Linked DNA regions of Drosophila melanogaster. Changing the gene in region 1 together with any one later gene gives a genetic interaction. Each region holds a gene or a part of one and is shown on either strand. Other genes may lie near its edges.

Region 1 (8,264 bases):
TATTTTTATTGCGTCAAAACTTAACTAAATGTTTAACTAAGTTTAATTCAAATTGACTAAATGCCGATTTATATGATTTTAAGATTACAAGCTATTTTACAGTGACTAACTATGATTAAACACAACGAAGTTATCTTTAATTCTACAAATTAAAGTTTATAACTTCAAAGTGGAGAACTATTTGTGTACTCTTTTTAGTTGTGAACCTTACCATTTTAATGTTTTATGTATGTACACAAATTACAAATACGTATTTTTAATTTACTGTTTTTCTAGTTTTAATAGATTAGTTGTTTATGTTAGATGTGTGCTTTACGTTTTGTATGTTAGTGATTAAATGAAATAATATAAAAGTGAAATGCAATAAAAAGAAGAGAAGAGTAATATTTTGAAAATTTTGTGCAATACCTCCCGAATCCGTTGTCGATCTGTCTTTTTTTCGCTTTTTCTTTTTTGACACGTAACCATAGTTATCTCGTGCGCTCCACCCCGGATACAATTCCATATGCAATTGGCGCTCTTGTCGAGCTTTTTCGTAATATTTGCTTTGTTCTTCGCGGGAAAGTTCGTGCCACTACAAAAGTATTATTAATAAGTTAATCCATTAGAAGTACGATTGATATTTTCTATACTTTATCTAAACATCGTAAATTTCTACCCTGTTATGATTTTAATATTAAATATTTGTCGTCCTCTCGAAAAGGGTAATTTTACAATCCCCACAACTTTTCTAATCGGAAAGAATTGGAATCTAACCTAACAAATACAAAATAAAAATTTTTTTAAATATCTTACCCGTCTTCCTAAAATCTGATTAATCGCAGCCGATTCCTTCAGAGTGCATTCAGCAACAACCTTAGCACGCATTTCCTTCATATAGAGCATGAACGCATTTAGTGGCTTCTTAATATGGGGTTTTTTTTTATCATTTGTTGTCTCCTTGGATTCATTTGATTGCGCATTTGATGTGTGCTTTGCTTCCAGGTTCCTAAAAGATAAAACAAAATGATAATTGTAATTCATTCTTCCCTGTGTTATAAAACTAAACAATGCGTTTTTAATCAATATTTTAAAAGTGCTTTGCTTGGTAGTTAATAACACATGGTTTACTTTAATCCGTTAAACATGGTATAAAACTTTTATTTTTTACAAAAATGTATATGTTATAAGTTACTAAATCTTTACATGCTTTTAACTACCCACGATAACTCAACACTCACTTTAAATACCTTTGTTTCTGAAAAAACTACGTTGACACTTATTTCCAAGAATGCTGAGAAGACATGCGGAAGTATACACTTGTAAAAATATACAATCTTCGTTTAGTAGTTCAGCTAACATAAAGGGAAAAGTATCGCTTTCTAACAATGGTTTGGAAAAGCTTGCATATGCTATTGTATAATGGCATTTTTTTTAATGAACAGAATACAATCTGTTATTCGTAACTCAGCTTAAAAGTGCGGGGAAGGTTGAAGGTTAACCACTACTCCTACTTGGCGGTTAAATTTATTGCACTCTGGGATGAGAAAAAATTAAAAGGGTTTCGGTCGTTAGAGTAAGTGAAATTCGCGACATTCATACGTGATCCTGATACAAATATGCTCTTCACTGAATTTAGTAAGACCATTTATTTTCCGCTCGATAATATATACGTTCATACGGAAAGAAAGACGGACAAACGGAAATGGTTATATAGACTCTGATTCAATCCTGCACAAGACGGTTCTTATATACTTTGGAAACGCTTCCTCCAGACTGTTAAATACTATGCAACAAAAATATAAAATATATACATATATTTAAATATATATATCACTTTTTAAATAAATTGGCAGTTATCAAAACCTTTCAAATATAAGCGTATAAGTATTGTAGAGCGGGAAAAATCAAAAGACTACACATTGAACATTCCACATAAACAGAAAAAAATGTTTTAAATAAAACAAAAAAAAAACTTTAAAAACTCGAAACCAATTTATTATAACTTACAACATTTTTTGTATAATTTACAACTACAGGCTGCTTGCAATAATCAACAGTTCATTAAAGAAAATAGGTACTATTAGGAGTGAGCATCGACTTCAACAGTTTTACAAAGAAATAAAGGGTTTAACCAAGTAAGGCGAAATAAAATTACATGTGTTTTGTCTTGCTTCCAATACTTAAGTCGTATGGGGCATCTATCATTGGAAAAATTTCAGTTTTCATTGATCCGGCATTTCCCTGTAAAGCGCATAGGCGCTCTTTAAACAGGTTAGTTATGGAAAGTTCCTGCGCTGTTAAAGATGCATTAGCCGAAGACAATGTCTTAGTAATTAAATGGGAAACATTTTCAGTTGGCAATGCTCTAATTGATGGCGACGTTTTCAGCTGATTAGTGATTTCGTTGTCAACATTTCCCCTTATTGCATTCGATTTAAAAGAATTTGTAGTCAGAGTTTCAATGTGCCTTGCAAGTCTTTGTTTTCTTCGGTTTTGACTTAGCCCGAAAATTCCAGAAACCATTCCAGTAGAGCATCCACTATTACTACCAGTCGATGGGGTTGAAGGTGCAGTAGAAAACTCAGGAACAAGTAGAGGATCGGTAACGATTGACTCAGCTGAACTTTCTCGATTGTAATTAAACACAATAGGCAATTGCGTTGTGACATTATAATTTTCTGTAACATCTGTTAAATTTGATGCAGATGTAAGCAAGCGAGAGGTTTCAATGTTAGAAGATGAAGACAATGAAGCATATTCTAAAATAATCTCAGCTGCAGTGCTACAAGGCTCTACGTCTTTTTTGTGGCGAAAGGTTTGCCTTGTCGAATGCCATATGCAAGTGGGTGCTGAATTTGATTCTTCGCAATCGCTTTTAACACTATCACTGTAGGATTCATGAGGGGTGCTAGCAGAGCTGGATTGATGCATATTAACAGATGATGCGAGTTGTAATATTATATCTTCTATTTCGACCAACGTTTTAGGTTTTGCTGAGGTCAAAAAAAAATCGGACTCACTTTCAACATCTGGAATCTTAGAGTGCACTGCATTTGTTTTCTGTGGCAAAATACTTTCATTAGACAGTGCTATAGCAGCTAATGCCATGATAGTATGTGTTGGTGTAGATGTATATTCACCATCTTCCTCTGATGGGAGTCCTAATCGTTGTAAGCTGCGAACATAATAGAGCTCAGCGCTGCTCCATTGATTATATAATCGTTTTACCTCTTCCAGTAAGTTTTCAATAGACTTGCGATTTCCATTTAGTTGTCGTCTTACACTTTCCTCAAGGGCTGAATTAGAGCCATTATTTACTTCAATGTGACTTTGACGTACACTTAACCTTTTCCTAAATTTACCTGAGCTATCTGAGAGATTATCTAGTTTTTTTTTAATGTCGATAAGAATGTTTTTTTGCTCCCTGATAAAATCACACGTGTGTTGTAAGTCGTACCCATCTAGGGCTTCCTTGTTCGATTTTAATTTTGGTGAGTAACAATTTTTGTCGTCTTGTTTATTTTTTTGTTCTGCTCTTTGATGAACGTTAGAAAATTCAAACAAAGGGGGATCTACACAACTTATGCTGTTTTCGATATCTTTAATTAACTTAATATTGTTATTATTATCCTGCGAAGATGGGGTTGACAGAAGCTCATCTTCTCGAAGCATGGTCTTTTTAGATCCCGAATAATGAACCATGTTGAATTTATTCGAATGAAATTCCCGTTCAGCTAGCTGAGACCGAAGAAGCCGAGCGTATAAAAGTTGTGTGGCCAAAAGCTGCTGCTGCGAGCATGGCTGCTGATTTAGCATACTATTCGTATATATACAAGAAAACATTTCATTTCGTTGGCGAAAACTGTCATTTTGCCAATTTTCTATTTCTTCAGCGGTTTGCCAAGGCTGAGAAATTAATTTATTCGGACTTAAAAGAAGTTCGGAAAACGATGCCTCCATTCCGTCTGATCTACTTGATGGTACAATACAAACTTTATCCAAATCATTGCAGTTATATTGTTCTATTTTGTTGGCAGTTAATTGCGTATATTGGTTATTGAACCCACCATCAGGGACCTGGCTCGTTTTCAAATTGATTGAACATTTTTTATCGTGCTTTTTTTGTAGATCCTCATTGCTCTTCTTTTTCTGGTAACTGATTAATTCGTTTGAGTTTAAATTAATTTCACTATTAGTTGTTCCACAGTGTGGCATTATCGGATTTTGTGGGAGCCTGCTGTTAAAATCCGTTCGGTGTTAGTCATTCGTTAACTTTTTGTTTTATATTTTATTTATATTATTTATTGGATAAATTGTATTTCAAAATTTTAAACATTTCTATTAACCTTTAGAATCTTAGTTCACCTTGATGACTCAAATTTAATTAAATTAGTACTTTTTCAAGCACCATTGTACAACTTTTCAACATTTCATACAGGGTTCGTTGTTTATAAAATTTTCTTGCAATATTAATGAGATTTAGATAGCGTAATATTTATGTTATAATCCAGAATCCATGCGTTGTTTTCATTTTTTTAATTATATAGAAATCTCATTTTAATTAACGTTACCCTGTTGCTCGACTGTTGCAATATGAGGTCGTAATTTTTTTTTGTTTTATTTGTTTGTTAATTGTAATTTCCACATTGTGTTAGAGGAAGCCACAATTGTTTTACTTATTTAGTTCACTGTTAATATGGTCAATAATCGGTTTATATACTATCTCCATTTATTCCGACATATTTATATTACTAAATCGATCAACACTATATTAGTATTATTATGGAAACAAAAGATGACATCCTATTTTTAAAACTTATATTTAATTTATAAATACACTTTATATGTAAACACTCGATTTCATCATACACTTCGTGTTATTATTCTACTTGTGTTCTAATGGACAAATCGAATAAAGATTATTTTTTTCATTTGTGTTCATAAATTGTTCTTTCCGGAAATTGTTCAACTATTTTTAGGCATTGATTCCTTTAGATAGATTTTTCGCAAAATTGTATATACTGCCACAACAATTGTCTGATTTACTCTCTTTCGGTCTTTAAAAATAAAACTTAACGATAAAGGTGTACGACGCGGAACAAGAGAGACAAGGACGAGCCATCGGCTCGAAAATAACTGCGTGAGAAACATTGCGCACAAACTTTGTATCGAGCACATGTTTGTAACGAATTTGTAAAAAAAAAGTAATAGATACTATTAAATTTGTTTTTTTTTTCATTCTTAATTCATTCTTAAGAAATAATAAAGTTGTTTAATCTGTATTTTAAAAATATGTACTTCTGTGTAATGTGAATTTTACTGCTGCGTAAATTTACATTTTTACAAGTAAAATCGCAAAATGATGTATTTTTACAAATATTTTACATGAAAATATTCATAGCATCCAATGTTGGTACGACTCTTTTCAAATTTGACTTTAATTTACATTTTTTCTATACGTAATTCCAGATTAAAAGTAACCCATTTTTTAATTTTATTCATATTTTGTGTATGTATGTTAAATTTTTTGGATTTTACCTGGCAACATAACACGTGCAAAACTCAAGTGCCTTCAGATATAGATGGCGCCATGTAATTTCAAATCATATCTACGAATATATATATTTATATATATATGTATGGGCTTCAACAACGGAATACAGTAAACTAAACAATATTATATTAAGCTTGAGTTAAATTTAAATTTTCTAGACCACCTTAACTTAAAGCAAATAATTTAACATTTTGATTTAAAAAATATTATCAAAATATTTTTTATAAATTAGTACTTGAAAATTACATTTTTCGAGGATATATATTAGAAATTTATTTATTCACTGAAAACGGTTGAAAAAATCGGTTGATTCTAAATTAAAGATGTGTAAAACTTCTTATCACTAATCTTAATTGGCCAATTCAACTGTTTACTTGCTCATAATTATGTTCGTTAGTATTAATATGTCTTCGAAGAAAGTTTATTTTCGGTTGTCAACAAAAAATATATTTGTATATATATATATAAATATTTTTCGCTTTTCACAAAGAAGTTTTTTAGACAAATAAAAAACCTACTTTAATACATTTTAAATCCATGCATTTTAAAAAAGGCCTCTAAAGTCCAGTGACTCGACCTAAGAAAAAAGCAAGAGAGAATGCTATAATCGAGTTCCCCGACTATCAGGTACCCGTTACTCAGCTAGTGTGAATGTGAAATTTCATAATTTTTCTGGGATGTCAATAGATATTGAGGAGTAAAATGAAAAAAAATTTTAAAATTGTTCCAAGGCGTGGGAGTGACTGGTTCGGCGGCTTTAGAGCGTTAAAGTGAGCGTGACAAAAATTGAAAATCGATAGAAATTTACAAGACTAATAAATCTAAATAAAATAAAAAAAATATCAACACGTTTTTCAAAAGTGTGGGCGTGGAAGTTTTGTGCGGCTTGTGGGCGTGGCAACATGAGTCAACAATGTGGCGCTGCGTCTTGGTCTCTAGGATCTGTACGGTGAATATCAACCTACTAGCTTTTATAGTAAACAACAATTAAAATAGAAGTATGCAACAGCTAGATGGAAGCCTTTACGATATATATTCTCTTAGTATATATATTTAGTATATATATACATTTAGAATAGATATATTTAGTATATATATATATATATTTAGTACATATATATTTAGTATATATATATTTACTATATATATATATTTACTATATATATATTTAGTATATATATATAGAATACATGTTCCTGATCACTAGCAGAGTAGTTCCGGGAACTAACAAACCTAGAAATGTTAGGTTTCGAAATCATAATAGTTACACTTTTTGTTGAAATTAACATATATATTTATATATATTTTATATTTAGGATATAATTTTTGCAAGGATACAAACAAATGTTACATTTTCAGAAAATATATCTCAACAAATTTTACAAATATGTGTTATGTACTCAAAGTTTAAAAAAGGCTGACGACAGAGGTTTAAAACCGTTATGGATGTTTTTAAAAAATTAATATTAATAATATTTAATAATTTCAAAATTGTATACAAACTAGGTAAAGAAACCGTGCCAAAAAACAGTAAAAACAACCTTTATCAGCACATATAGAATATTCCGTAGCTTGACCTTTTTAAAAACTGTAGTCGATCTTTTCCTACGAAACTTGCGTATTTTTTAAAAAGTAAGCTTAAGCAGTTGAATGAAATAAAAGCGAGATGATTAAAGTTAAGATTTAGTAGGAGAGACATGCACACACACTTTAGATTTAACGTTTCGATCAAGTTGGAATCGAACATTCTAAGTAGTATTTTAAGAACTACACATTGAAACTATGCAAGCGTATGTCGAAAATGAGAATGTTACAATGTTTTTCATCTTTGGGTGTGAACAATATTTTTTAAATAAAATAGGTAAGATTACATTTTTAGAAGTGAATATAATATAGAAGTGAAAATTTTGGGTAGTTGAGCCCAGAATCTTAAAAATGTCGTAAATGTCGTAAGTAAATGAAATACGAAATCAACTAAAAGACTATGATCCGATTTATGTCACTTCGCTCTTGATTTACATTTATTGCTTAAAGCATTTTCAGACAAAGGTAACAACGATGGAAAGAGCTTCACTCAAATTATATTTTAAGGCCTTATCTTAAAGTATAAAAGTAACTTGCTTAGGATGAGTTGTTTTCAGAAGGCAAATAAAATGTATAGCATAATATAATAAAAAAAAAACTGTACTTTATTTTTAAATTGTATATTAAAACAACATTATTTTTATGCTAGTTCAGTTTAAGTAACAAAAGTTTATGTACATTTTTGAAATTATAAGAGCCAGAACTTTAAAAGAAAGGGGTAATAAAATTCGAAATTCATTTTAGGGGTTGGTCCTAACTGCGCAGGCGCTATATCCATGAGAGGACCAATGAGAGAGTTTATATATAGTTAGAGGTCTGTCTATTCGTACCTTATGTGTGCATATGTATTGAAGAAAGCCATTGGTAAATTAAAGATGGCGGATGTAATATTCCCACCCACCAAATAAAAACTTTAAAGCGCAGTAATTAAAAAAAATTCGATACAAAAAACTAAATCATGAATGGTCTTATATAATTTTAACCGAATAAATTGGGTATGCCTAACAATCGGTTAAATAATTAAAATGTTCTTAAAGTACCCGTTTTAAATGTGCGTACACATTGGACATTATAAACAATTTTTTTTAATTTTAATTAATTTTTTTAATTTGTAAGTAGCTTACCTTGGATATCTATTATTCGT
Region 2 (8,328 bases), on another chromosome or scaffold:
TCTATATCGCAACTTGTAAAACTGAAAAACGAACAATGGCTTACTTTTTGGTAAGCTAGTTACGAATGTATACAGCTTAAAAGTTGCTTTATCACTTAAAAATAGTTTATTTACGAGCAATTGAACAATCTGAGACCCTCAAACAAACTTAAGCTTTCTGTACTGGACTGCACTTTGATTCTGAAACTCACTATACATGTTTGTGTTTTAAGAACGAATACAACCATTTCGAGGATTTTTTCTTAGTGGAGGACTACTGCCCCTTGAATATCCCGACCAGCTGTTGATGGACTGCCCTGCGGAGGAGCAGGAGTGCGAGTGGCGGTGCTGGGACGACCTCCAACATGATGATGCTCCATGTACATTGTACAACAGCACACAAAGGATGTTCTTTTCAGAGTGTCCGTGGTTGCGGCGGAGCAAGCGAGACGGCAGCAGGCGAATAGGAGTCATTGTGTGCAACCAATATGCGCAGGTCCAGATTGAGTCCCCAGACCCTGGTCCCCCCATTCTATGCCCTGCTGCCCAAGCCCAGACCAAATCCTGGCCCACTGCCAGAGTGGCAAGGCAAAGGAAGGACCAGACGCCCGCCCGTTCTTATTGTACATAAACAGAGCAGCGGAGTTGGGTTCGCATTGTAGTCCTTCCTGAAAGCCGAGGGGTGGGGCAAGGGTTGAGATGGAAGACCCACCTCCGGAGTCCGATTCCTCCCCTAAACACAAATGTGGAAATTATTTTCGAATAAGTTTGAAAACAATACGAAGGGAGGAGCGACCGGCGGCAGCCTCGTTTGTTTCTAATGAGGTTAAGACCGCCATTGCTCAACCAACCGCCCGATGAACGGCGTCTGATGGCGGTCTAGACTCCACGCCGGCATGGTCTGGCCCGGCAAACTGGGGGAAACACGGGCACTACTCACTGCGGCTGCGAGTATTGCCGAAGGTCAATAGTGGCACTTTGTGCGCGGCAAAAGTTGCCAGCACAGGCGGAAAAGTTCAGCGCGGAAGCGCCTACTTTTCAGGTGCAACGCCCATTACAAGGACACCGAAGGACCCGAAGGATGCACTTGGGCGCGGTCAACTGTTGCTCCTCTCCGAGACAACGGAAACTTATTCAATTCCTTAATCAGAGTGCTGCAGCCCAATAAACAATAGTGAAATCATGGTATCCTTATTGCACTAAGAGGATTTTTCAATTGAGTGAAAAGGTAGTTTCCGAATAATAACCAATTAAAAAGGATTTATTAAAACCCTTCAGGATGTCATGATTATTAGGTTTCGAGAAATGGAAAAGGACCTAAGTATATCAATGTAAATCAGTTTTTCATACTAGTTTATATTTCTGAGATTCTCGCATGCAATCGTAGTTGTCTTAAACTTCAAAACCATTGACAAAGTAAAAATAAGTTGTATACTCACATATGTAATTTGCATAAAAAATTCAACATGAAATCAGGGGAAGATATTGGTATTCCGAATGGTTCCAGTTGTTCCTGAAAGAATAGTGAAATGAAGAAAAGATTAGATCAATTGAAATCATTTTGAAATAAGCTAAGACAATATATAATACTAAAATATTTGTTCGAAAGACTAAGGTTGTAAACATATAGTTAAGAGTTTGGAAAAAAAAAAGATTAGAGCCATTGTTATCCATTTGGTATAAATTTATGTTATATGTTAAAGTTAAAGTTTTATCTGAAGACTAATGTTTCTAGCCTTACCAAGCATTATGGGATAGTTAAAAAAATTATGAACACTTTTACTCTGTTTTAAATATACATATATATAAATAAATGTATATAAAATATGTATATATAATAGGCAAGCTTTATACATAAGGATATTATCAATTATCAATTGGGAGAAAAGAGATTTGGCCATTGGGTATATTTTTGTTCGCCAAGAAAGTAAGTCCAAAACAATGAAAATAATTTTAAGAAAAATCTTTAGTCTCGTGCATCTCATAAATAATCATTCAAACCAAAACATAATACAAATACCATAAATAAATTAAACAAAAAAACTTTTTTATATGCCAGTCATAAATATTGCATCAAAGATAAAATTGGAAGGTATTTTAATAGAGATAAAATTGTATAAATATTATTTTTGGCTCAGCTTAAATAAATTTACATTTCAGAGCCCAAATCGAATTAGTTTTCAACACAGCGAACTTTAAATCAATCAGTAGCAACCACCCAAGTGCCTCCTTTTTTTCAATAAGCCATACATATTGGATTTGTGGGGGAGAAAATATTTCGCGCACGGGTGCATCCAATAAACGCCTAAATAAATCTAAAGAATGCTTTGAATATAAAGGGTGATAGAACACTAACCGATTAAACTCAAGTGAGAAATGGCCAACGCTTGAGAACATATCAATCCATAGCGCTGCAAGTCCTTTAAGATGGTTGAATCTTTTTATGTCCGGTTTGTAGAAATGTTTAACTACACGCTTCACTTAATTACTCTTATTCGCATAAATTCCTATTTACGTAGCTTATATTACAGTTGATGCAGTACATTCAGTACCTGAAAGAAGAGGATGTGTAAATTGTTAAATAGGTAACATTGTATATTATGGATATGAATGCAGGATGATAATATAATTATGTTTTACTGTTTTGTTAATTAATTGATTTGTTAATGAAGTTAAAAGATATATACAGTTTCTATGGGATCCCATTGGCACATACACCTCAGAAATAAATTAAATGTGCTGCAAACTAATTAATTGAGCAATATTTTAGTTGGATGATTAGAATTTGCATGGCGTTCTAAATGACTTTTTCAATGATCAGGTATCATCCTTCGATTTAATGAAATATACATTTCATAAAGTTACTATTATTGCAAAATATATGCTCACATTTCTTACAAAGGATCATTCAAATTACTATTAATATTTGAGATATTAGTTAGACGTGAATAAATTGTCTAATTCCAATCATTTCCCTTGATACAACTAGATCATTAATCAGACTTATGTTGTGCCTTTCTTAAAGTATTAATATTAGTCCTTAAGTAAGTTGTGCAAATCCAATAATCCACAAACTGCGTAAGAAAGTAATAGCATTAGTTATGGATTGTGCATGGGAATTCCAAGAGCAGTACTCACCCTTAGATTCGTGTATCCTCGGCTTCACTCAATTGGGATGGCAGACGACTGATCCTGGCGCAGTCCTGACGGCCCTGGCTCCAATCTTCGATGGCGGTGACGATGGCAATGGCGATGACGAGGTGGGTTTGGACGGGTGTAATTTGATTGTAGCTTTAACGGCTGGACGCTTCGATTTCAATTGCAACTTAGCTTTCAATTTCGATTTCAATTTCAACTTCAATTTCGATATCGACGAGGATGCTTTCATTTTGATTAGTGTGCTCAACGAGAGGGACGCGTGACTAACAATTAATGGAAGGACGATTTGTGGAGTTCAACAAACAAGCAAACGTAAACAAGAGAGTGTGGTTAACAAGGCGCTGGCACGATGACCGGACTAAATGCTAAACAAGGCTGCAGATCCTCTCCTCGCGCACGGATCCCGATCCTCTCCTCTGCTCTCCTCAACTCAAGTGGGCTGGCCCGAGGGCATATCCTATCCTATCCTATCCCGGTGTCTGAGCTGCCTGCTGTAAACAATGGCTGTATGTCTCTTAACTTAATGCTTCGCCAGGAGCAGTCATCCTCGTCCGCTGGCAACTTTGGGCTCTCCGCGGGGAGAAAATCGTGCTGAAGCGCCGCCCTCTAGAGCATTTCGGCGTCTCCGGGCTCCTGCACTGTGAGAAATCTGTGCTCGGTGGCCTTTCCACTCAGTTCTGCACCATTTGTGCACTTTTCCGTCTGCTGCTTCTTTATTTTGTGTATTTTGTTGCTGTTGCCTCCGCTGGTTGTGGGTGCTGCTGCTGTTGCCGTTCGATTTTCATGGACGTATCGCTGCGGGCCGCTGTGCGCCGAGTCTCCGGAACGCGCACACTCTTTTAGGGCTCCGTGGCGCCGCTTATTCAGTGGTAAATAATAGATTTATTGAATGGCAAAACAAAATGTAGTTCGACACAAATGTTAGACGGCGAGACGAACGATTACATGCTAGAGTTGCGTGGTTCGAAATCGAACTGGTTCGATAGCTCGCCTCGGGGATGCCAACTGGATTGCCAACACTGCGAAAGGTGGCAGCTCGACTTGGGGTCACCTTGTGGTTCGCGTCCGCACTTATGTTGCGCTACAAGGCCTACAGGTGGCGCCAGGGATGATAGAAGGGTAGATAGGTTTTCTATTTTCATCGACTGGAAAGGCAGCAGCACTCACAGCTTCAAATTCAAATCTTTTATTGTCGAACAATTCTCGAATTTCGTATTCAGCATGGACAAGCCTCAGTACGCTCGCGTGGTCGAGATCCTTGGACGCACTGGATCCCAAGGGCAGTGCACCCAGGTGCGGGTGGAGTTCCTCGGCGACCAAAGCCGCCAGATTATTCGGAATGTCAAAGGACCTGTTCGCGTGGGCGACATCCTGTCGCTGCTGGAAACTGAACGCGAGGCCAGGAGACTGCGCTGATGTATGAATTACACCTGTTTGATTTCCCAAATCAAGTTAATAAACGATTTTGTTTGTTCAATTTTTAAATCCCAAACTATCGATTTCCTATCGCTAAGCTATCGATTCTTGCCATCGCAGCCCTAACAGCTGTTTGTGTTGATTCCGATTCCGCGAGACACTCGGATACAGATACTCACGCTCAGATACTCAGTTACTCAGCTACTCAGATACTCGTTCGCAGCGGACGGCCGAGCTGAGATACTCGATCGCGAGCTTGTTGTTGCCCCAGCCAGGCGAAAGTGAAAACGGAACGCCCAGATGAACGCCGAATAAATCAAGCGAAGTAGCAACAAATGCGGGAAATGTGAAAATGCGCGCGGCAGTGGGTTGAAGCGAGACGGGTAGAGCTAGAGAGATGCCCGTTTGCCCGCTGTGCGTGTGTGTGTGTGCAGCGGCGGCCGTAGCAGCTGCTGGTATGTGTGTGTACCGCAAGTGCAGGAGCCTGCATTGCAAAAACAAAAGCGAGTGCGAAAAGAACAGCAAACAGGATTAAAAGTGACGGATTCGATTCCCCGGGGAATCCTACCAATTAGTGCAAATTCCGAAATGCACGGAAAAGCGAACGAAAGCTGCGAATTCGTTACACTGCTGCACTTGGACTTTTCGGGGCGCTCTGAAAAATCGATTGACCGCAAGGAAAGTGGCGACCGCGAAATAATGCAGGCATTGGGCTCCTTCGAGGCAGCTGCACTGCGCGAAAAGTCCAGCAAAGGTGAGTGCGGACAGCTAGGGCAATTAAAGCAACAAAAGGCCAAAGATTGTCGTTAAATTCGATCCATAAAAAGTGGGCGAAAAAACAATGCAAAGCGTACGGCGCATTTGCCTGAGTTTTCGTGTTTGTTTGTTTTGGTTTTTTGCCTTCGCTTTCGGCACGTCAATTTTCGCCACTTATTTCGTAACAACTAAACCGAAAATACCTGTTCGTTCCACGCCCCCTGCCACCGCCCACCTCCCACCGCCCCCCGACACACCCAAAAAAAAAGTGCTTGCATTTGCGAATAGAGGTGGTTCCTACACCGGAAGAAATTACTGCCTGCGATTTAATGTTATTATTCTAATTAAAAAGCCTATGCATTATGAATATTTCATTCATAAATAAATCAAAGTCAATGAACTTTTATCTGTTGCTGCAAGCGCTCATTTATTCATAGAAACTAGCTTAAATGGTGAATATTTCATTCGGTTTTCCAACTTCAAAATCACTTTCTAAGTGGTATTCGAAACTCCGCACAGTGTACTGCTATTCCTAGACCTTTCATTGCCTGAATTTCAAAGTCGCGTTCAGTCGTCAGTCAATTGGCCCACTTACAATTTATTAATAAAGGGACCGGGTCATTAATGTTCATTGATTTTCCGCACTTAAGTGCGTCAGATTGACGTTACCAGGAAACATGGTAATTAGTGGCCCCTGGCACAAAGGGGCGTGATTAGCTATTCCGCCGGAGTGAGAGTCCTGAGATCGGGAACTCCACTCTTCCACTGGCTTGGATTCGCAGTCAGTATAGTATCACATCTCATTCGTAATAGCACATTCCAGGGAACTTCGCATGTGACTTGGTTCTGGAATGTCCACTTGTGAATCGAAACTGCTTTCAACTGGCGGCAACGTGACTCCAAAGCAAACTAGTTAGGTTTCGCGGAAAAGCTGTAAAAACTACATACATATTATTTGCAGTGCCTCATTTTCAAATATCGTTTTTGGTTCCTCATGTGAGTAGTTAAGGCTCGGGGGAATTTTTAATGTTTATACAGATACATACTTGTATGTAGCTTATTACTTAGTTTCGACCTTGAACAACATCGCTGATATGAGCTAATTTCATTATTCTCCTCAGAATAAAGTGCGCTTCATATGTGTAAATATGAAAAAGTACATACACAGGCACGTTTATGTTGTATAGAAGTCTCGCACGTTACTCATGGTTGGTGGAATCATCTCTTAACTCTATAAGATGATTACAGCACAGCTCCAAATGGGTCACTGCGATTGCATCCAAAAACGCCCCCAAAAACATCACAGCAAACTTGCTGTGATGTTGCATGATTCTAGTGACTAGTGGCTAGTTGCTATAGTGGGTATTATCTAGTTCTTTCCCGATTCTGCCACACAATTGCGCTTCCTCGAGGCAAAGGCGTTCCACTTGTGAAATTTCGCTGAGCCGCCCGCCGACGAATCTATTTTTACGCCAATTGACGCGAGGCCGCGGATTTGTGATTTCAGAATTGAGATTTCAGACGCGTTCCGCCCACTCGGCAGGCTCTCTCGCCTCCACGCGACGTCCATGTGCTCCTCCACTCCGACCCGCCATGTCCACACATCGCCATTCATCTGGCGAGCTGTGAGCCTCCGACGCTAATTAAACTCAAGTGCCCAGTTCCAAGTGCCCAGTGCCCAAGCACGGATCCCACTCGTTACCCTTCTGATTAGCATTCCCATGCCGAGCTCCATTGTCCGCTCTGGAGAAACTGATCTCATCGGAGACAGGGCCCAACAGCCCAACAGCCAGCCTATATAAAAGATATTCCATCTTAAACTTACTTCTAAATTATGTTGGATTCCTTCACAAACAAAGCGAAAGTTTTATTGTGGTAGTATGCTTCTGTATAGAAGGTTATCATCTATGAAAGCATTCGAATCGTAGGAATGTACGTACTATCAATAGCTCAACTAATTCCAGATGACGAGATGAAGGCGCTCACCCAGTGAAGAGCCAGCAGTTACTCGAATCCGAGGAAGCGAGGAGCGACGAGATGTCGAAAATGAGGGGTAATTGTAATTGAATCGAGTTTCCGGCTTAGAAAAGCCAGCCTTGCTAAATCCATTAAATGTTTGCCATTGAATAGGTCGCATTCTGATCCCACTGCCCAATACCGGAGCGATGGGTCGCAAGCGCAACAACTTCTACATGCGGAGTCTGTTCCTGCTGGCCCTGGGCATTTTCGGTCTGCTCCAGTACAACAACTTCAATTATCGTAAGTAATAGGCGCCAGCAGCTCGCATCACCAGGTAAATCTTTACTTCTGTTGCAGTGGACTCGCGGGACAATGTGCTGGGCGACGCGGTGACCAACGACTCGGACGACGCCATCCTGGCCATGGTGCCCGCCACCCTGCACAAGTATCTGACGCCCCACTCGCGCAATCACAGCGCCTCGGGAGCAGGAGCCCTCAACGGCGCGGGTAAGCCTTCAGCGAGTTAGCCAAGATAATGAGATAGTTTAACTGGATTCGAATCACCCTCTAGCCCTGCTCCTGAATGCCAGTAGTCCGGGCGCAGCTACTGCCAGCACCATCAGCTTCGACGTGTACCATCCTCCGAATATCACCGAGATCAAGCGCCAGATCGTCAGGTACAACGACATGCAGATGGTGCTCAACGAGGACGTCTTTGGACCGCTGCAGAACGACTCTGTGATAATCGTGGTCCAGGTGCACACGAGGATCACCTACCTGCGCCACCTGATCGTCAGCCTGGCGCAGGCCCGGGACATTTCGAAGGTGCTGCTGGTGTTCTCGCACGACTACTACGACGACGACATCAACGACCTGGTGCAGCAGATCGACTTCTGCAAGGTGATGCAGATCTTCTACCCGTACTCCATTCAGACGCATCCTAACGAGTATCCCGGCGTGGATCCCAACGACTGTCCGCGAAACATCAAAAAGGAGCAGTGCGTATTGGCCATCGCTATATGTATGGCTATTTCTATAAGTATCCCTCGTTCCAGAGCT
Region 3 (8,376 bases), on another chromosome or scaffold:
TTCATCTACAACTACCTACTTATCGACTAACATATACGGTCTATCGATTGGTGGTTTACAAGAAAAGCAAAAAACCGAACGAAATGAACCCAAATGAAATGGAAATTCAAAAATAGGTTATCGAAATCGTAAGCAAGCGATATATAGGTCGATACTTAATCTGGATACCATTATATAATGCTTGACTAAAGTAGGTTCTCTACAAATTTACAATTTTATGTACAGATTTCGCTTAACGCGCTGCATTTTTAAATCAGATTCAATGGAACACAAGAAGGGCGTTTAAAAAGCCGGAATCCCGGGGACGTCGAATTTGCTTAGCCTACTTAGCACGCACCTGTAGATCGGGACCCATGCCCAGGTCGGCATTGGCCCATATGTTGTTGTCCTCGCGCAGCAGCGAGTTGGTCAGCTCTATGGATAGCCGCTTCTTGTAATCCTGCGGCTTGTCCTCACTCATGCGAAAGAGAACAGCGGCGGCGTATGTGGCCACGCCTTCATTGCGCGAGTGCAGGAGATCGGTCAGCGGCCCAGTGGCGCCCTCCTGCTCGATAATCTCGGCGCCCTCCTTGTCAGCGGCGAGCTCACAAAGAACGCCAGCAGCCACGCGCTAAAGTAAGAAAATATTCATAGTATACTTGAGTCACAACAAGATAAACTTCGATCTCACCTGTATGTTCTCGATTTCGTTGAACAGCAATCGTACAAAGATCGGTATTACCGACTGCTGGCGAATGAGTGCCCGGTTGTGAGACTCGCGGGCCAGGATATGTAGCGCCCCCACCGTGCCCTCGACAATCTCCTCCATGCGAACGCCGTCAGCGTATGCGGACGGCTGCTGTGAACCAGTGGTGGCTATCGAGGAACGTTGCTGCAAGGTTGCAAGTATAATTGACGTCATAATTATTCTCTCCAACTTATGCTTCCACTATAACTAACTCACCCTCTCTGTGTCTTGGAAGGCGCGCATAAGCAGTCGCACCAGATGGTGGATGGCCCCGTGCTCCCGCAACGGGGCGTGATTGGCCGGACAGAGGGCCAAATTGCGTATGAGTCCAATGACGGCCTTGATCAAGGGCCAGCGTGATGGTGGATGCAATAGCTTTACAATCACCGATAGTCCGTAGTTTAAGCGTACGGCATTCTGGGCCAACTCAGAGTCCACATGACGCGAGGTCAAGTGACGCAGGGCACATACAGCCGGCTCGGTAATCTCTTCGCGATCTCCAGCATTGATAATAGTACGGACGAGGGCGTCCACACCGCCCACCTGACAAACGGTGGCCTTGTTGCGCTGATTGTTGCACGTCAGATTTGAAAGGATACCGGCGGCACAGGTGACCACGTTGACATCGGTCGAGCCCAGAACCTGGACGAGAGATTGGAGCAAAGCTTCAAGGCCCTCCACCTTAGTGGCTGCATCCGAAAGATTGCGGAGCGTCCACAAACAGTTTTGCACAAGGCGCGGTGACATGTTACCCAAGTGCATAGCCAGCGCCTGCATTCCACCGGCATCCACGATGGCCGGCTTGTTGCTGGAGCAAACGGAGAGCACTTTCAGTACCCGCGAAGTGGTCCACAGAAGCTTCTCGTAGTCGTAGGAGCGCATAATGCGCACGAGTTCGTTGGGCCCTCCGGAGGCAAGAATTATTAACTTGCTCTCCTGGTTACCATAGGCCAGAATTTGCAAGCAATCTGTGACGATAGCCAGAAACTTAACGTTGTTTCGTTGCAGCAGAGTAACCATCTTCTGAAGCCCGCCGGCCAGGCGCACAGCCATCTTAGAGCCATCCTGGTGGAGCAGCAAATTGTGCAGAGTGGTAATTGCATAGAACAGCACACTCTCCACTGGCGAGGAGAGCAACTTGACGAGTGCCGGGATGCCGCCACTCTTGAAGATGGCCAGCAGACCCTGGCGATGGTGTGATAAGTTGTGCAGTGTTCCTACCGCTGCCTTGGTGCTCTCCAGATCGTTGCTGTTAGAGATGGCACGCACCAAAGCGGCTACCATCTGAGGGCTGTTCATAATGGCATGTCGCGAGGCCTCCTTCTTAGACAGCTGGTGGACCATCATGGCGGCCTGGGAAACTACCACCTGATCCTCATCGTTCAGCAGCTTGATCAACTCGGGTATGGCCCTGGTTGCCAGCTCAGCGTCGTCCTGGTAGTTGATCAGATTGACCACCGCGTGCTTTAGCATTTGTGACGGTTCCGAAAGACGTTGCACTGCCGTCGGCTGTTGGGGATCAAACTGGGTGGAGGGAATCTCAATGCCCTCCTCCAGGGTTTCCGGAAACATGGCAGCACGTACACGTTGGGAGCGTGTCTGGCTCAGTTGCTGGTTCATATCGTCCACTTGGTCTTGTGTGAAATTCTGCGGGAAACCGGTGTCCAGGTCGAACATAAGTGGATCTCCCTCCATCTCCTCGTCCTCCTTGCCAGACAGCGATGGAACCTGGGTCACGGCACCCGAGTGGATGCCGGAGTCGCCCAAGTACGAATTCTGCTGCCACATGAGGGTCTGCTCCTTGGCGGATACCATCGGCGGCAGATCAGGTGGATTGTATTGATTATTATGCGACACTGCAAAAGATTGATTGCAAAACGTTTTAGAGTGAATTGACAAAAATATACACTCCAACTTTTCTAACTCGAATCACCGATGTGTTTCGATCATTTCCATTGCAACTTAATCGTGTTATAAGACCCCAAAGAAGCAGAAATGAAGTGTAAGAATAATTTTTGTATGCTCTTCTTTAACTTGTTAACATCTGTCTACACATTCATGGTAACTTTTCTTTTTTAAAACCTTTTGAAGTGGAAAAACGACAGAGTAGAACGGAATACTGAGTGCAGCCCACCATCTACATATAATGCAACGAATTCGGGTGCGGGGATGCACACGCTTTAACCCTCTGCAACCCATTTGCATGCGCTTTCGTTAAAAGATGGCCAAATGGGAAACGACAGCGACTGACAGCAAAGTGAGCAGCATCCCAACAGCCGGCGCAAAAAATGCAAAAGGAAAACTTTGAAGCGTGACAAATTGAACGCTGCAGGATATTCCCAGAAAGTTCAGGGCGCTGGGCGGAATGGGTTTGGTGCAGGGGGTCAGATGCTCACACATGAGAGGGTACTGGCAAAAGGATTTGTGGGCGTTTTGTTTGCCACTTCAGTCTTAATTATGCCGTTCCAGGCCCAGCTTTTTGCCTTTGTTGTTTTACTTATGCGCGGACACAGCACGGCCACGCCCCTTCTGTATGCATTCGTAATTACAAACTTCACTGCTCTTCGCCATCCACTCTGCAATACTACAGTCAAATCTCAATAGATCGAACACGGTGCTGAATATAAATGACTCCATAAAAAGCAGCATTGAAACATGCTGGTAACCTATGGACCAGGTCTCCAAATGTGGTCTCTGAGTTCAACAAAATGGTTTAGCCCACAGCTGATGAATTTTGTTCGCTATAAGCACATGCGACTGTAATACTGTAATCGCTTTTCGTTTCATTTCCCAAATCGATTAAGCGTTTTTTCTTCGCCATATCCGTCGAGTGGGCCACGCACTTGAATGGAGTACTGTGTTGGGATGGAGGGCGCGGGCGGAGCCTTTAATTGCATGTTGCCGCTTACTAATTAAATTCTGCACAGCAGCAGCGCCAGAAAAAAGCAAAGGCAGAAGCCAAGAAAAATGTGCAGCCAACTCGACTGCGAGTTCGGGAGACGGGGTACGAGAACAAGGTCCCCGGAGAAGACCAAGGAGCGATGGCAAAAGGGTGGCGTGGGTTGGAGTGCCACGTGCAAGTACACGAGTCCTTGAATGTGTGTGTGCGTAAGTGGATAGCATGGGGAGGGAATGGAGTTTCAAAGGATAGTGAGCAGCGGCCTACTCAAGGGGGTTTCGGGGTTGTACAGCAATTAGTTGAAAACTAAACTAAATACTTAATAGTGGTCGAATTAAAAGGCCACTTCCTAAATGGCTATGAACTGTTCACTACTGTCGTCCTAGATATTGACATTCCTCGACTTTCTGTGGCAAAAGTGATGGGAGTTCAATGAAGCCAACATGCATTAACGAGCTCCTCCCCTTTGGTGAAGTCCTCTCCTGCGCCTCTGAGAGCCTCACCAACGCGCTCTGCAAATCAAGTGTCAAAAAGAAATCTTCTTTCCTACTCCGTTTACTGCGTCAGCGGAAAAGTGTAAATTTCAAACTCCGAAGTAGAAGGGAGCGCTTTTTTTTTTGATGAATCGGATATAAGCACAGGCCGCTGGTGGTTGATGGCCCAACAAAAAAAAGATCATCAAGCATTACAAGTATGTAGATGTACACAAATTATTTGTCTGGGGTGGATGGATATAGTTGTTACCCTGTATTCTGCAGACAACCCACAAAGGGAATATCAGAAACAAATGACAAAAGCAAATACTTTATGTCAAATTTGCCAAATTTGTCAAAAACAAGCATCGCTCCCTCATTTAACGTTGGAGAGGGGTTGTTATTGTATTGCGATACGGGGATAATTGTTTCACAGATACAATGCGCTGTTGCATCCCCTTCATAGGGCCATGTATTCTGACTATTTATCCTAAATGTTCTAAACTCTAGAGCTACCATGACTTAATTGCGTCCATTGAAACGCAATATCATCTCTAATTTGATGAAATCGGATCCTGTATACAACTGCATTTGGACTGGGTATACAAAAGCCCAAAGTGGAACACTCTGATACACAGTTAACTTTGATGCTCTTTGCATACTCCCTGGAAGATGGGAAAGGGAAGAGTACCGCTGCTGGAAATACTTACTGGTTCGATTCTGGGCTGGCATGTAACTCATCTTGGTGATTGAGGCGCTTTACACCACACCTGCAAGAAAGAGACGGAGAGTATATGAGTAATGTGCTGGACAGTCAATAACATGGAGTTCGTGTGTGCTTCGGATGGAGACCACGGAACTCCACTAAATGGGGGCCCCGGAAAGAAGGGCTTGTTGTGTTTGCAGACTGCCAACAGACGCAGATATCGTCCGTTAGTCACTTATTCTAGTCGTTGGTCTTTTTTTTTAACTCATTTCCGCTTTGAGATGCCGAAGCATAATATGAAATATGCTGCGTATACAAACAAACGCACTAATACATTCTTACGCAGGTAGAACGGGTATTTGTGGGTATGTGTGTGTCTACCTGCCGAAGACTTTGGCCACGAACCTTGAGTTATTTAATTACTTTGTTTAGCACTCTTTCAAATCTCATGCACTCCAACAAAAAACAAAATGGATTTTTCACTTCTCTCGAAAAAGGCGCAGCGGAAAATGCGACCGACCAGCACGCTCGTTTAAACGGAACAGAATCCAGATGCGGAGAGCGCAAGCAAAGCAAGGCACTTGCAACACCGCGCGTGCGGAGTGCGGGAAAGGGACAGGGAAAGAGACTGGGAGAGAAAGTAAAGGGCCGCGGCAGTGCAGCATACAAATGCAGTGCTGCGCAGAGTTGCCACACATCCAAACGATTGTGCCTACACACACATACTCGCGTAGGCAGCTCAGAAAGAATCCCAACTCCATTTCAGTTGTCGATTAGATAAAACACCTAACGATAAGCCTGCCTCTAGATTCGAAGAAAACGATTTCCTGTCTGTGGCATTGTTTACATTCCAGCGAGCAACAAAACAAGCGCCCGATTTACGGGGGAGGAATACATAAAAATGCCGTTTGTGTGTATCCAGATCATACACACACACATACACAGGCGCACATCCAGCGAACCCCTGCCCACCCCCGCGCCGACTTGTTTGCCATGGCTTTCCAACTTTCATGGCACACAGAAACTTTGGCTTTCCAAACGGATTCACTACCGACTAACAGTACTCACCGCGTCCAAGGAATTTAAGTCTGCTTTAGAGCAGGATTTATTTATTTAAAACGCTATAAGAAACAAAATAACAGCGAATTGTCTGCTCGAGAAAAACTGTGTATATGGCGACGAAACCCAACTAGCGATGGCCTGCTGCTGTCCCGATAACTCGATGGGCCCTGTGCGATAGGCCAAAGGAATTTTTCAAATTTTTTTTGTTCTGAGAACACAAAAATCTCACGAAATTTGTATAGCATTTCATCCTTAAGAAACTCAATTCACAATATTTATAATTTAGCTAAGGCGAATTTATTTCTAGTTCATGTTATCATGTTATCTCGAACTCACCGTTTATCTTGTATAAACATTTACCAACACAAGCACCTGAGTGTACATGAGGGTGTATGACAACACAGGTACGACCAAAAACTATTGTTTTTGGGCGACGAATTAAAGAAATATCTATGACTTTACTATTACTTACCGCTTCGAAAGTAAATTTATCTGCTCAAAGGCAGGTTAACGCACTTTTGACGCACTTAGATATTTAAATTCGACAAAAATCCCCGACTATGAAAACTGTGTATATGAGCGCAGAACAGATAACCGATAACTCCTCTATCGCAGGTGGCTGCCAACTTGCTTCAAAATAGAAAGCGCACTTTTTAAATTTCCAAAAGTATTCAAACACTGGTCTTTAATTTCTTAATACATATTTAAGTTGGGCAAGCAATATTGGTTTATGCAGTCGTAGAAGTGGGTTCATCGGTTATGGTCACAGCAGCTGGCGGCGGATCGCCGGCCTTCCGTTGATCCCTAAAGAACATGACCCACGCGCTCTTATGGATCTCTATTCCATCACATAGGCCATACACCTGGGCAAATCCGAAATAGGCAGCAACAGCGGCGACACCGAAGAGAGGTACCATTATGACTAGTCCTCCCAGGCAGGCGAAGAACACCATGGACACAATGGTCAGGAGTGTGCCTAAAACGAGTCGATAAGAACGTGATCTCTGGTAAACACTACGGAACGCACCTTCTAGCACCAGCAAACCTGTAAAGGTCATAACCATGGTGGCTATTCCAAACCCAAATATTATAAGGAAGGGCAGCATGAATACAAGACCACCAGCTAGCAGGCAGATAGCAACGTGCGGATTCCGGGTGCACCAGGCCGCGGTGGCCTCCAGGAAATCATTTCCACCTAGCTCGGACATCACAAAATCTGCCAGGCGGCAGATTTGAAGCCCTGCAATATGGCAACGTTATAACAAAGGCAACTTTTGTTACGCGGTGTGATGCATAAAACAGGTTAACAACCGTACAGAGTAGTACATATATAAGTAACTAATTGTGGCAGTAAGCAATTAAGCGCTTTTACAGATAGTACTTCAACTAGTGGACATACATGACCTGTAGAGAGTCTGGAGCAAGCTCTCCAGGAACTGGTCGCCAGTCAGAACTCCTGCACTACGATCGCCTGGGCCATGTATCTTTACGTGCTCCGGTTTGCTCTCTGTTCCCGATCCCGCAGACTTCTTGGCGTTTGCCTCTTTGGCTGCTTTGCGAGCCTTGTTCGAGTGAGCCTGCAGAGTCGATCAAATCAAATCAGTTATGAATATTATGTGAGTCAAAGAACCCAAGTGATTAGATGCCGGCTGCCACTGAGTCCGTGAAACGCGACCTTTGACTTGCGATGCCGATTCCAGCCGAAATCTACGGATTCTTCCGAAGATGCCGGAACACCCACTTCACTCACACCCGTACCCACCATGTTGCGTGGCTACTGCGAGAATCTCAGGCGGTTGCTGTGCGCATTACAGGAGGAGTCTGTTCCAGGTTCATTCGCCTGCTTGAAGCAACAGTAAATGAAAACAATATAAATAAACAAAAAATAATCGACGTCGTAGCCCTGAAACTAAATCATCGAGGGAGAGCTGCCACCTTTTTTTTTACTAAATTTGAATTAGACAAGATGCGTTTCTTAATAATGATCTAGCGTGGCTTAGTTTTGCTTTTTAATCATAATTAATTTGTTTACAAAAAAAAAATTAACACTATGTTAAAAAAAAAATTATAAATTTATAATGGCGGTCAGCGTGCGACATTTCTTCGCCGTAGGATTAGTGAAGCAGGAATCTGAGTCCGTTAAACGGAGGACGCGCCGTAATCCTCTCCGCCACCAAGCGCTCCCCGTGAACAGTCATGCCGCAGCGCACCTTCTTGGCATGCAGAAAGTTCAGATCGGCGGCTCGCTCTCCACTTTTGAGCGGCAACCAGCCGTACACCTGCGACTCCAGGAGCGGAACAGCTTTTCCGAGCTGCCTCTGACGCTCCACATGCTTCTCAGGCCAAGTGTGCCGTAGGTACCTCAAGGTATCCGTCGGCTGGCGTTGCTCATACTGGGCGTAGAACTTCCGTGTTAGCGGATGAACTGGAAGGCAGGAGAAGATATTATTAGCAGTAGTGAACAATTTTGTAAACTATTGTAAAACTTTCAATGATTAAAGTTTTATTT
Region 4 (8,324 bases), on another chromosome or scaffold:
CACTTTATTACACCTCTAATGGAAACATCATATCTTCGGTTGCATTCCCACTGTGCATATATTGGTGTTAAGGTTATCTGGGAGATTCGTTCACTGGCACTCTATGGAAATGAGGGTAATTGCCTTTTGCGAGATTCCCATTTGCCACAGAAACAGGAGAAAAAGGGGTTAACGTGCTTTACTACATATAAGTTGATATACATTGACCGACGACTCCAATACCCAATTAATAAAACATTTAACTAGTTTCAAGTTAAAAAATCCATTTTGGCAAAGCCTTGTCACAGTAGTCAGTTATAAAAGGTGTTAATTGTTTCGACTATTCTTGTTTCCCAAGCTGCCTAAATTCAAATTGAAATGGATCGATAAATCACCCAATCGACCACATTGAGTAATAAAGCTTAACATTTTTGCCATCCTTAAATTGTTTGTAGCTCACTTACCCGCACAGTGTTTACGTTGGGTTATAATTGTGAGCAGAGTCACAAAAACAATAGTAGTTGACTCCATCGTGGTTACTTTTTCAAAAAGTCAGTTATCAGTCGGCAATTTTCGCTCACTCGTAGACGCACATTACATATTTACACATAGTGAACGTCGCTTTTAATGGGTTTTCTCTACAAATTGTCGCTATTTGTTTGATTTTTTATGTTCCGTGTTTTTTTTCTCTGTGATGGTATTCTTTTCCAATGCTGTATCCAATTAGCCACGTTCGATTCCGTCACAAGCTTAATTACTTTTGCCACAAATTGATAAGTAGCATTTATCAATTAATGTGCGAAAACCAGAGCAGAAAATATGAAAAAATAACAATGAGTTTTGCGGATATTTAGACCACGAACATTAATAGTTTTTCGTTTTTGGTGCAGAACGTAAGCTTTTGAAAACAAGTAACAGAGGTTTAGGTTTACCAAAATAACAATTTGGAAAATTAATTTTTTTTATTTCAAAATGAGTTTTCGTAAACATCAATGTACCCACTGAAAGGGTATGACTGCTAATTATTTTTATTGATAGCGGCGCCCACGCTCCCGTTTGTCATTTAAGCAATCTAATTTATCACTCAATTAATTCCGCACAAAATTCTCAAGAGCCGCGCGGTCTACGAATTCTGATTATTGCAATTCAAAATGAGCTTTGAATTTGTTTCGCATATTGATATTGTTATTAAATGGTCTTCGGTTGCTATTTTTGGCCAGCGCCAGGTGAGAGGCTTATTGGCGTTGCTTTCTGTTTTTTGTTTTATATTTTTCTAATTCTAAATTTTAAAAGTCGAGCGCCTCGGGTGCGTGCTATTTGTTGCTCTTATCATTATTAATTGTTCTTTTTGCCGATTCACTCCATGTCGAATGGCTTTCAGTTTGCTCAATCGGTTTTTAAGTGGAATAATTTAATTAAATTATTTGGGCAAACAATGTGGGTTTACTTCACAATTTGCTCTGGCTGCCTTAAGTCAAAAAGTTGAATGGTTTTTGAGACAGTTTCGGGCTTAAAATTACCAGAGTTTTGTATACAGTGGTAATGCTAATTTATTAAGATTTCTAAACTTCCTAACCAACTGCCGAAAACCCTGATGAATTTTGAATACGAAAAACAATAGAACTAGTTACGATAACTAATTCTATGCAAGTACCAAGCAACGCTCAACGAGGACGTGTCAAGGAAAAGGCAAAAAAAGTTTGTGGACGTGCGAGTACTCTACCTACTCCATACCCCACAGAGTACTCTAGGTACTCCACTCCACATCGCTCCAGTGCGGATGGATGGACGGCATATGTGTGGTATCCAGCGGTGCACGGCAGGTGTGATAAAAAGAACCCGAAAGAGACAATTGCGGCGTGAACTACCCGCTGGCCAGGGGAATGGCAATGGAAGATAGCACGCATAATTCAAACGAGCTCAAAGTCAAACAACGTGATAAGCAATTCACAAACACTGGCCGAAAAGTCGAATGGGAAAAACTGTGTAAACTGAAGCTGAAACTCATTGAATTTGGATCATTTCAATTTATTGGTAAATGGGATTTGCTTTAAGTAATTTCGGTATTTTGGTACTTAGTACAACACTCTTCTATCCGTTTTTCTTAATCATTGCAATCACATTTGCTTGAAATAAAGCACATTTTCTAAAGATAGTTTCCGATAGCATGGCCAAATGTGCGATTATCACAGTTTTATTCGCAGTGTATTCAAAGACCGAGAGACCGACTAACTGACTGACTGACTGACTGACTGGCAGTCCAAGTGTCTGCTGTCTACTTTTCGTCTGTGGGCCTCTTCAGCACCTGAGCACTTTAAAGTTCAAATCTTTTGACACACTGGGAGCTCAGTTGGCGGATGCTAATAACATACGACTTGACACAAAGAGGCTTTTGCAGCAGACACACACAGAAACTCAGAGACATTCACTGGAAGCCAACCGGTTGCCAACTGGAGGGGCTCTCAAAGGCTCGGGCCATGGCGTTTCCCCATTAAAGGTTAAGCGCGACCCAGCCGATCCGGGTGGACTTTTAAGGTGCGTCTATAGCCGTCCTGTTGCTCGAAACGCCAAAAATGGCAATTTCCATATAAAACTTATGCGAAGCCGGCAAACTTACAAACATCCGACGACCGCAAGAGTCAAAGTACGACTGTGGAGGTTCTTCAGTGCCAGTGACTGCCCCGACTGTTTTTTAACTGCACTGCGACAAAAAAAGATTCTAAGAATGCGTACTGGGAGCTTAATTTTAATCAAATGTTTGCCTTTTGCATTGCTTTATCATAATGAAGAACATTTTGCATTGCAAAGATTTAATGAATACAGAAATGTAAAAAAAAATTTTTTAATGTGTCGTGTTTAAAAATATTATGGCTTACACAATAAAAAAAAATGTTGCTTCATTTGGTTTCATCGAATTATTGCTACTTTTTCAATCTTTCCCCTAACTTTAAATGGTATTTTATATATGAGTATTGGTATAATGAGCTGTGAATAAAAACCAAATAGAATAATTCGATGATATTATTGACTTAGGCTTGGACCTTTTCCAGTGCCATCGGCTTGTAAGTTATTTTTTCGTTCACAGACATCTACGAATTGAAAAAGAATGCCAGAGTAGCGTCAATAAATTTGGCCTGGAAGCTTAGAGCCTGGCTTGGATTCCATTTCCACGAAAAAAGGTTCTGGAATGACAGCCGCTTTAAAGGTGTGCGTGATGTTCTTTTTGATCCAACACAGTCAGCAATAGCAAGTATTACAAACCCTAATTGATCCCATTGATTGAGTTTTTAGACCTGATCGCTTGTAGACACATTCGTAAAATGCAAATTCACATCGCGACTGACATTTGCATATGCTAACAATTAATTTTCTGTCACCTAGGTAATCAAAATAAAACATTTTCCAATTAATCCCACATTTTATAATTTGTAAGATTAACATTTTTATAAGCTCTGCCTCCACCTGAGCAAACGCAAGCACGAAAGACCTTAACAGGCATTTAAAATGTAGAAGTACAAGATTAGATATCTTTTGTATTAATTAAAATAATTATCAATTAGAATAAACGCTCAGACCACCCACACTTAGTGTTTTACTATCAAAGATGTGTCTTTGCATACATACATATATGTATATATATATATATTTATAGCTAATCTGTTATCCCGCCACTTCAGCTTTAATATATTAAAATATTTTCCTCAATAAACTGCAATTACTTGAAGTTGCAAATTGAGTAAACTAATTCCACTTCAACACGCACGGCTAAATCACAATTATCTGATGCCAATCTACACGATATACTGTATTGAGTTGTCAGTGCCACTAGACGTGAGGATATTGGCTGCATTTGGAAAATCCGAATCTGGAAAATCTGGCCATAGATCGCAAATAAATTTCAAAGTTCGCAACATACGTAAACCACGATCTTGATTTTGATAGACACGATTTATGGAGGCTTGCAGCTGCTGCAGCTTTTTACAGACTCCTTAATTGTTCGACTCAAACGGCAATTATTTATGGGACAGTTTCAACAGTGTAATTAATTAGCCACCTCTCTTTTCCCGTTTTCGGGCAGCTTTTCCGCGGAAATACTTTTTGGTTTGTGGAAAATCGCTTAAAGACCAACCGAACCGCTTTGCACGAGCTCCGTTTGAAAAATGAAACTGAAACCGGCAGCCGGCAACTCCAAAGCCGCAGAGCCCACAAAATCGTAACGAAAACTTGACTAACGAAGCCGCTTCGTGTATTTTACCCGAATGTATGAATTTTCCACGATGACGGCACGTCAGCACACCCTCGCAGAGTTTTCCATTTTCCGCTGCACTGCTGGGATACCCCTCCTCCAAACAACATAATTCCACCGACTAATGGCGTTTATGAGATAATCAGATGTGCATGTTCCAAGGCTGGGTAGCATATTTACCCTTGGAAACATGATCTCATATCAAGCACACTTTCCTCGACAGCTTCTTTTCACTGGGTTTGGGGAAAATATTTACTCAAAATTGGGAAAGGGCTTGCGTTCTAGTTTATCTCGCAGTAATCAGTATGTTGTTGTGGGTGTTGTTGGTCTTAGGCAAATCTTAACGATAAAAGGGTTTACCTGGCCACCCCAATACAGAGACTTTACATATTTATTTTTATTTAGTGTGTGCGTGTGCGAAATGTTAAGTGTGGTCAAATGTGTGGGTCTGATTTCTTTCATGCCTCTAGGCTTCATAAGCATCGGGAACTATTTCAACATTAGTGTAAGAAAGGAACTAAACAATTTGGAGTAAGATCATGGGTCCGGGACGATGTTAGCAATTGCAGGCGGGGCACACGGGCTTGTCCCCGTCGATGGTAAAAGTCTGCGAGGTTATAGGATTCTCGCATTTGTTGCACTGGAAGCAATTGCGATGCCACTTCACGTTCATGGCGAGCACCGCTGAGTCCGTTATAGGCTTCTCGCACTTGGCGCACCTGGCAGCAAAGAGGTTCTCGTAATCCTGTTTGCAATAGGGCTTGCCGTCGCGCTCATAGAACGTTTGACTGGCGAGCGGCTTCTTGCAGGCACCGCCGCAGCAAAAGCAAGCTTCGTGCCACCTCTCCCCCATGGCGCAGATGGTTTTTTCAAGGATCGGCTTCTTGCAGCCGGCACAGGTGTAGGTGTACCGCTCCACGAAGCACTTGTTGCACACTGGTTCTCCGCTCTGAACATTGAAGGTGGCATCCAGGATCTGCTCATCGCAGTGGTGGCACAGGAAGTGCTCCGGGTGCCACGTCTTGCCCAGGGCGGTGATCATACGCTTGGTGATGGCCTCCTGGCACTTGTGACACACAATGCTCTCAGTCATTTTGGCTTCTCGATTGGTAACTGCTAATAAAAAATGATTTTTAATGCGCATTACCAAGGGATTGTTCAATTACTCTTTTTTGATTGAATTGCTCGTATATATCGTAAATTGAGGTTAAAATACAAAATGTACAAAACAGGGCAGCTATCGATTATTTTATTGAAAGAAACAACGGAAGATGGCTATGGAACGATAAACACTGGGCAACGCAAATATTAATGAGACAAATTATAATTCTGTACTTATTTTAAGATTGGGTGTATTTCTTACTGGGTTTGTCGCCTGTTTCACTACTTCCTCTTTTCGCAGTGTGTTTTTCCTAGTTCGTAATTGTACTGTTCTCATATATCAAAACAGTTGTCACAGGGCCACCGTTGTTACTTTACTTTCTATTAGATGTTTCACACAAAATGGGAGCACAACAACAAGCAATAACGGGTATAATAAGGGTATACTAGATTCGTTAAAAAGTATGTAACAGGCAGAAGGAAGCGTTTCCGAACATACAAAGTATATATATTCTTGATCAGGATCAATTGCCGAGTCGATCTAGCCATGCCCGTCTGTTCGTATGAGATTCAGCATACAAATTCTAGAGACAACGATGCAGCGCAAGTTTGTTGGCCCATGCTGCCACGCCCACAAGCCGCAAAAAACGGCCACTCCCACACTTTTAAAAAAGTCTTGATATTTTTTTACATTTCATTTTTTATCAATTTGCAAAAAAACTTTTTGCCACGTCTACTCTAACGCCGTAAAACCGCCCATAACTGCTACGCTAACATTTTAGAAATTTTGAAAATTATTTCTTCATAATTCCATAACTTTTTGCCACGCCCTAAAACCGCACTAAATTGCTACGCCTACACTTTTGAAAACTGTTGATATTTTTATTAGTCTTGGAAATTCCTATCGATTTGCCAAAAAAAACTTTCTGCCACGCCCACTCAAACGCCCTAAAGCCAAAAACTGCCACGCACTTTTGAAAAATGTTTAGATTTTTCTTCGTTTTATTGTTTGTCTTGGCAATTTTTATATGTATACCAAAAGCACTGTGGACACGCCACTCCTTTCACCTTAAAAACTCCCAAAACAGTAACGCCCACATTTTTAAACAATTTTTACTCATTTTTTTCTATCGATATCCCAGAAAAATTATTAAATTTCGCTTTTGCATTCACACCAGCTGAGTAACCGTTATCTGATAGTCGGGGAACTCGTATGTAAAATTCTATCTTGTTCTTAATTTTTTTGTATTAATTCCATATTTATCTAGATTACACATCTGCGTAACCGATTCGTGACTACGCCAAGAGACGGCCACCACTTCATATCGAGAAGAATCGATAAGGCAGTTGTACTGCGATCTTAACGGAAAGATTTTTTAAAGCTCTTCAATTTTTGTTTTTAAAATTAAATAATTCATTATTTAAAGTGCTGCCAAAAGCTTGTTATTTAACGAAAGGCTGCAACATATTGGAAAGGGCTTGCTCGACCTTATCTCACAGTAATCAGAATGTTATTTTGGGTGACCAACACCACTAAGGCAAATCTTAGGGTATACCTGTCTACCCCAATACAGAGACTTAACATATTTGTTTTTTATTTTTATTTAGTGTTTGTGTGTGTATTAAGTTTGTGTGTTAAATGTGTAAGTCTGTTTTCTTGCATGCCTCTAGGCTTACTAAGCTTCGGGAACTATTTCAACATTATTGTAAGCAAGCAAATGAACAATTTGGAGGAAGAGCAAGGATGCACCATGGTTATCCGGGACGATGTTAGCAATTGCAGGCGGGGCACACGGGCTTGTCCCCGTCGATGGTGAAAGTCTGCGAGGTTATAGGATTCTCGCACTTGTTGCACCGGAAGCAATCGCGATGCCACTTCACGTTCATGGCGAGCACCGCTGAGTCCGTTATAGGCTTCTCGCACTTGGCGCACCTGGCAGCAAAGAGGTCCTCGTAATCCTTTTTGCAATAGGGCTTGCCGTCGCGCTCATAGAACGTTTGATTGGCGAGCGGCTTTTTGCAGGCACCGCCGCAGCAAAAGCAATCTTCGTGCCAGCTCTCCCCCATGGCGCAGATGGTTTTTTCAAGGATCGGCTTCTTGCAGCCGGCACAGGTGTAGGTGTACCGCTCCACGAAGCACTTGTTGCACACTGGTTCTCCGCTCTGAACATTGAAGGTGGCATCCAGGATCTGCTCATCGCAGTGGTGGCACAGGAAGTGCTCCGGGTGCCACGTCTTGCCCAGGGCGGTGATCATACGCTTGGTGATGGCCTCCTGGCACTTGTGACACACAATGCTCTCAGTCATTTTGGCTTCTCGATTGGTAACTGCAAAAAAAAAATGTGTTTGTTAATACGCATGTACAAAACAGGGTTGCTATTGATTATCGATTTATTGAAAGAAACAATGAAAGCTGGATAGGCAACGCAAATATCAATGAGAGAAATTATAATTCTGTACTAATTTCAAGATGGGATGTATTTCTTACTGGGTTTGGCGCCTGTTTCACTACTTCCTCTTTCTTTTCGCAATGTTTTTTTCTGAATTCGTTATCGTACTCTTCTCATATATCAAAACAATTTTCACAGGGCCACCGTTTTTACTTTACTTTCTTCTAGATGGTTCACACAAAATGGGAGAACAAAAAGAAGCAATACGGACTTGGACAAAATTTTGATACTGTTTTTTTTTTTTTTTGAAAAATTTTGATGTTTTTATTCAAATAACTATAGAAAACGAAACGAATGAAAACGTATGAATTTAGCAAGACTCAAAAACTGAATGAGATATTCGATGGAAACGCTGGGGGTATGTTTTGACATCTAGAAAATGTACAAGCATCGCCTACTGGACTGTAAAGTATTTGATTTTCCTTTCTAGGCTTTCTATGTTACTGTGACTACTGTTTAAATTTGTATCAAAAGGTTAATTGCCTAAATAGATGGCAATATGCTTGTGATTTCTTTAACATAATTTTATCTCCTTACCGAAAGTTATA

The links.
Region 2: of pan (region 1) and Axn, changing one suppresses a phenotype caused by changing the other (phenotypic suppression), as found in Drosophila melanogaster (2 studies listed by BioGRID).
Region 3: of pan (region 1) and arm, changing one suppresses a phenotype caused by changing the other (phenotypic suppression), as found in Drosophila melanogaster (6 studies listed by BioGRID).
Region 4: of pan (region 1) and Ret, changing one suppresses a phenotype caused by changing the other (phenotypic suppression), as found in Drosophila melanogaster (one study listed by BioGRID).

What each region holds. Positions count from the first base shown.
Region 1 is NC_004353.4:87,147-95,410, reverse strand, and holds the start of pan (pangolin), read right to left. Parts: upstream 5,057-8,264; 5' UTR 4,198-5,056; coding exon 2,138-4,197; intron 989-2,137; coding exon 796-988; intron 575-795; coding exon 409-574; intron 1-408. UniProt on the Drosophila melanogaster protein: Segment polarity protein. Functions together with arm to transduce the Wingless (Wg) signal in embryos and in developing adult tissues.
Region 2 is NT_033777.3:30,018,630-30,026,957, reverse strand, and holds the start of Axn (axin), read right to left. Parts: upstream 4,117-8,328; 5' UTR 3,118-4,116; intron 2,532-3,117; 5' UTR 2,336-2,531; intron 1,493-2,335; 5' UTR 1,419-1,492; intron 741-1,418; exon of another isoform or gene 86-740; intron 1-85. Other genes in the region: RpS28a (ribosomal protein S28a), read left to right, coding at 4,360-4,554; Mgat2 (mannosyl (alpha-1,6-)-glycoprotein beta-1,2-N-acetylglucosaminyltransferase), read left to right, coding at 7,348-7,363, 7,441-7,569, 7,627-7,776, 7,841-8,267, 8,325-8,328.
Region 3 is NC_004354.4:1,894,171-1,902,546, forward strand, and holds the start of arm (armadillo), read right to left. Parts: upstream 6,477-8,376; 5' UTR 6,340-6,476; intron 6,004-6,339; exon of another isoform or gene 5,874-6,003; intron 5,441-5,873; exon of another isoform or gene 5,134-5,440; intron 4,870-5,133; 5' UTR 4,841-4,869; coding exon 4,810-4,840; intron 2,584-4,809; coding exon 944-2,583; intron 872-943; coding exon 671-871; intron 611-670; coding exon 338-610; intron 1-337. Other genes in the region: Ldaf1 (lipid droplet assembly factor 1), read right to left, coding at 6,596-6,843, 6,895-7,107, 7,267-7,444, 7,543-7,632; CG32801 (uncharacterized protein), read right to left, coding at 7,982-8,292. UniProt on the Drosophila melanogaster protein: Isoform neural may associate with CadN and participate in the transmission of developmental information. Can associate with alpha-catenin.
Region 4 is NT_033779.5:21,194,620-21,202,943, forward strand, and holds the start of Ret (Ret oncogene), read right to left. Parts: upstream 4,144-8,324; 5' UTR 4,034-4,143; intron 878-4,033; 5' UTR 511-877; coding exon 444-510; intron 1-443. Other genes in the region: CG31624 (uncharacterized protein), read right to left, coding at 4,782-5,318; CG31988 (uncharacterized protein), read right to left, coding at 7,097-7,633.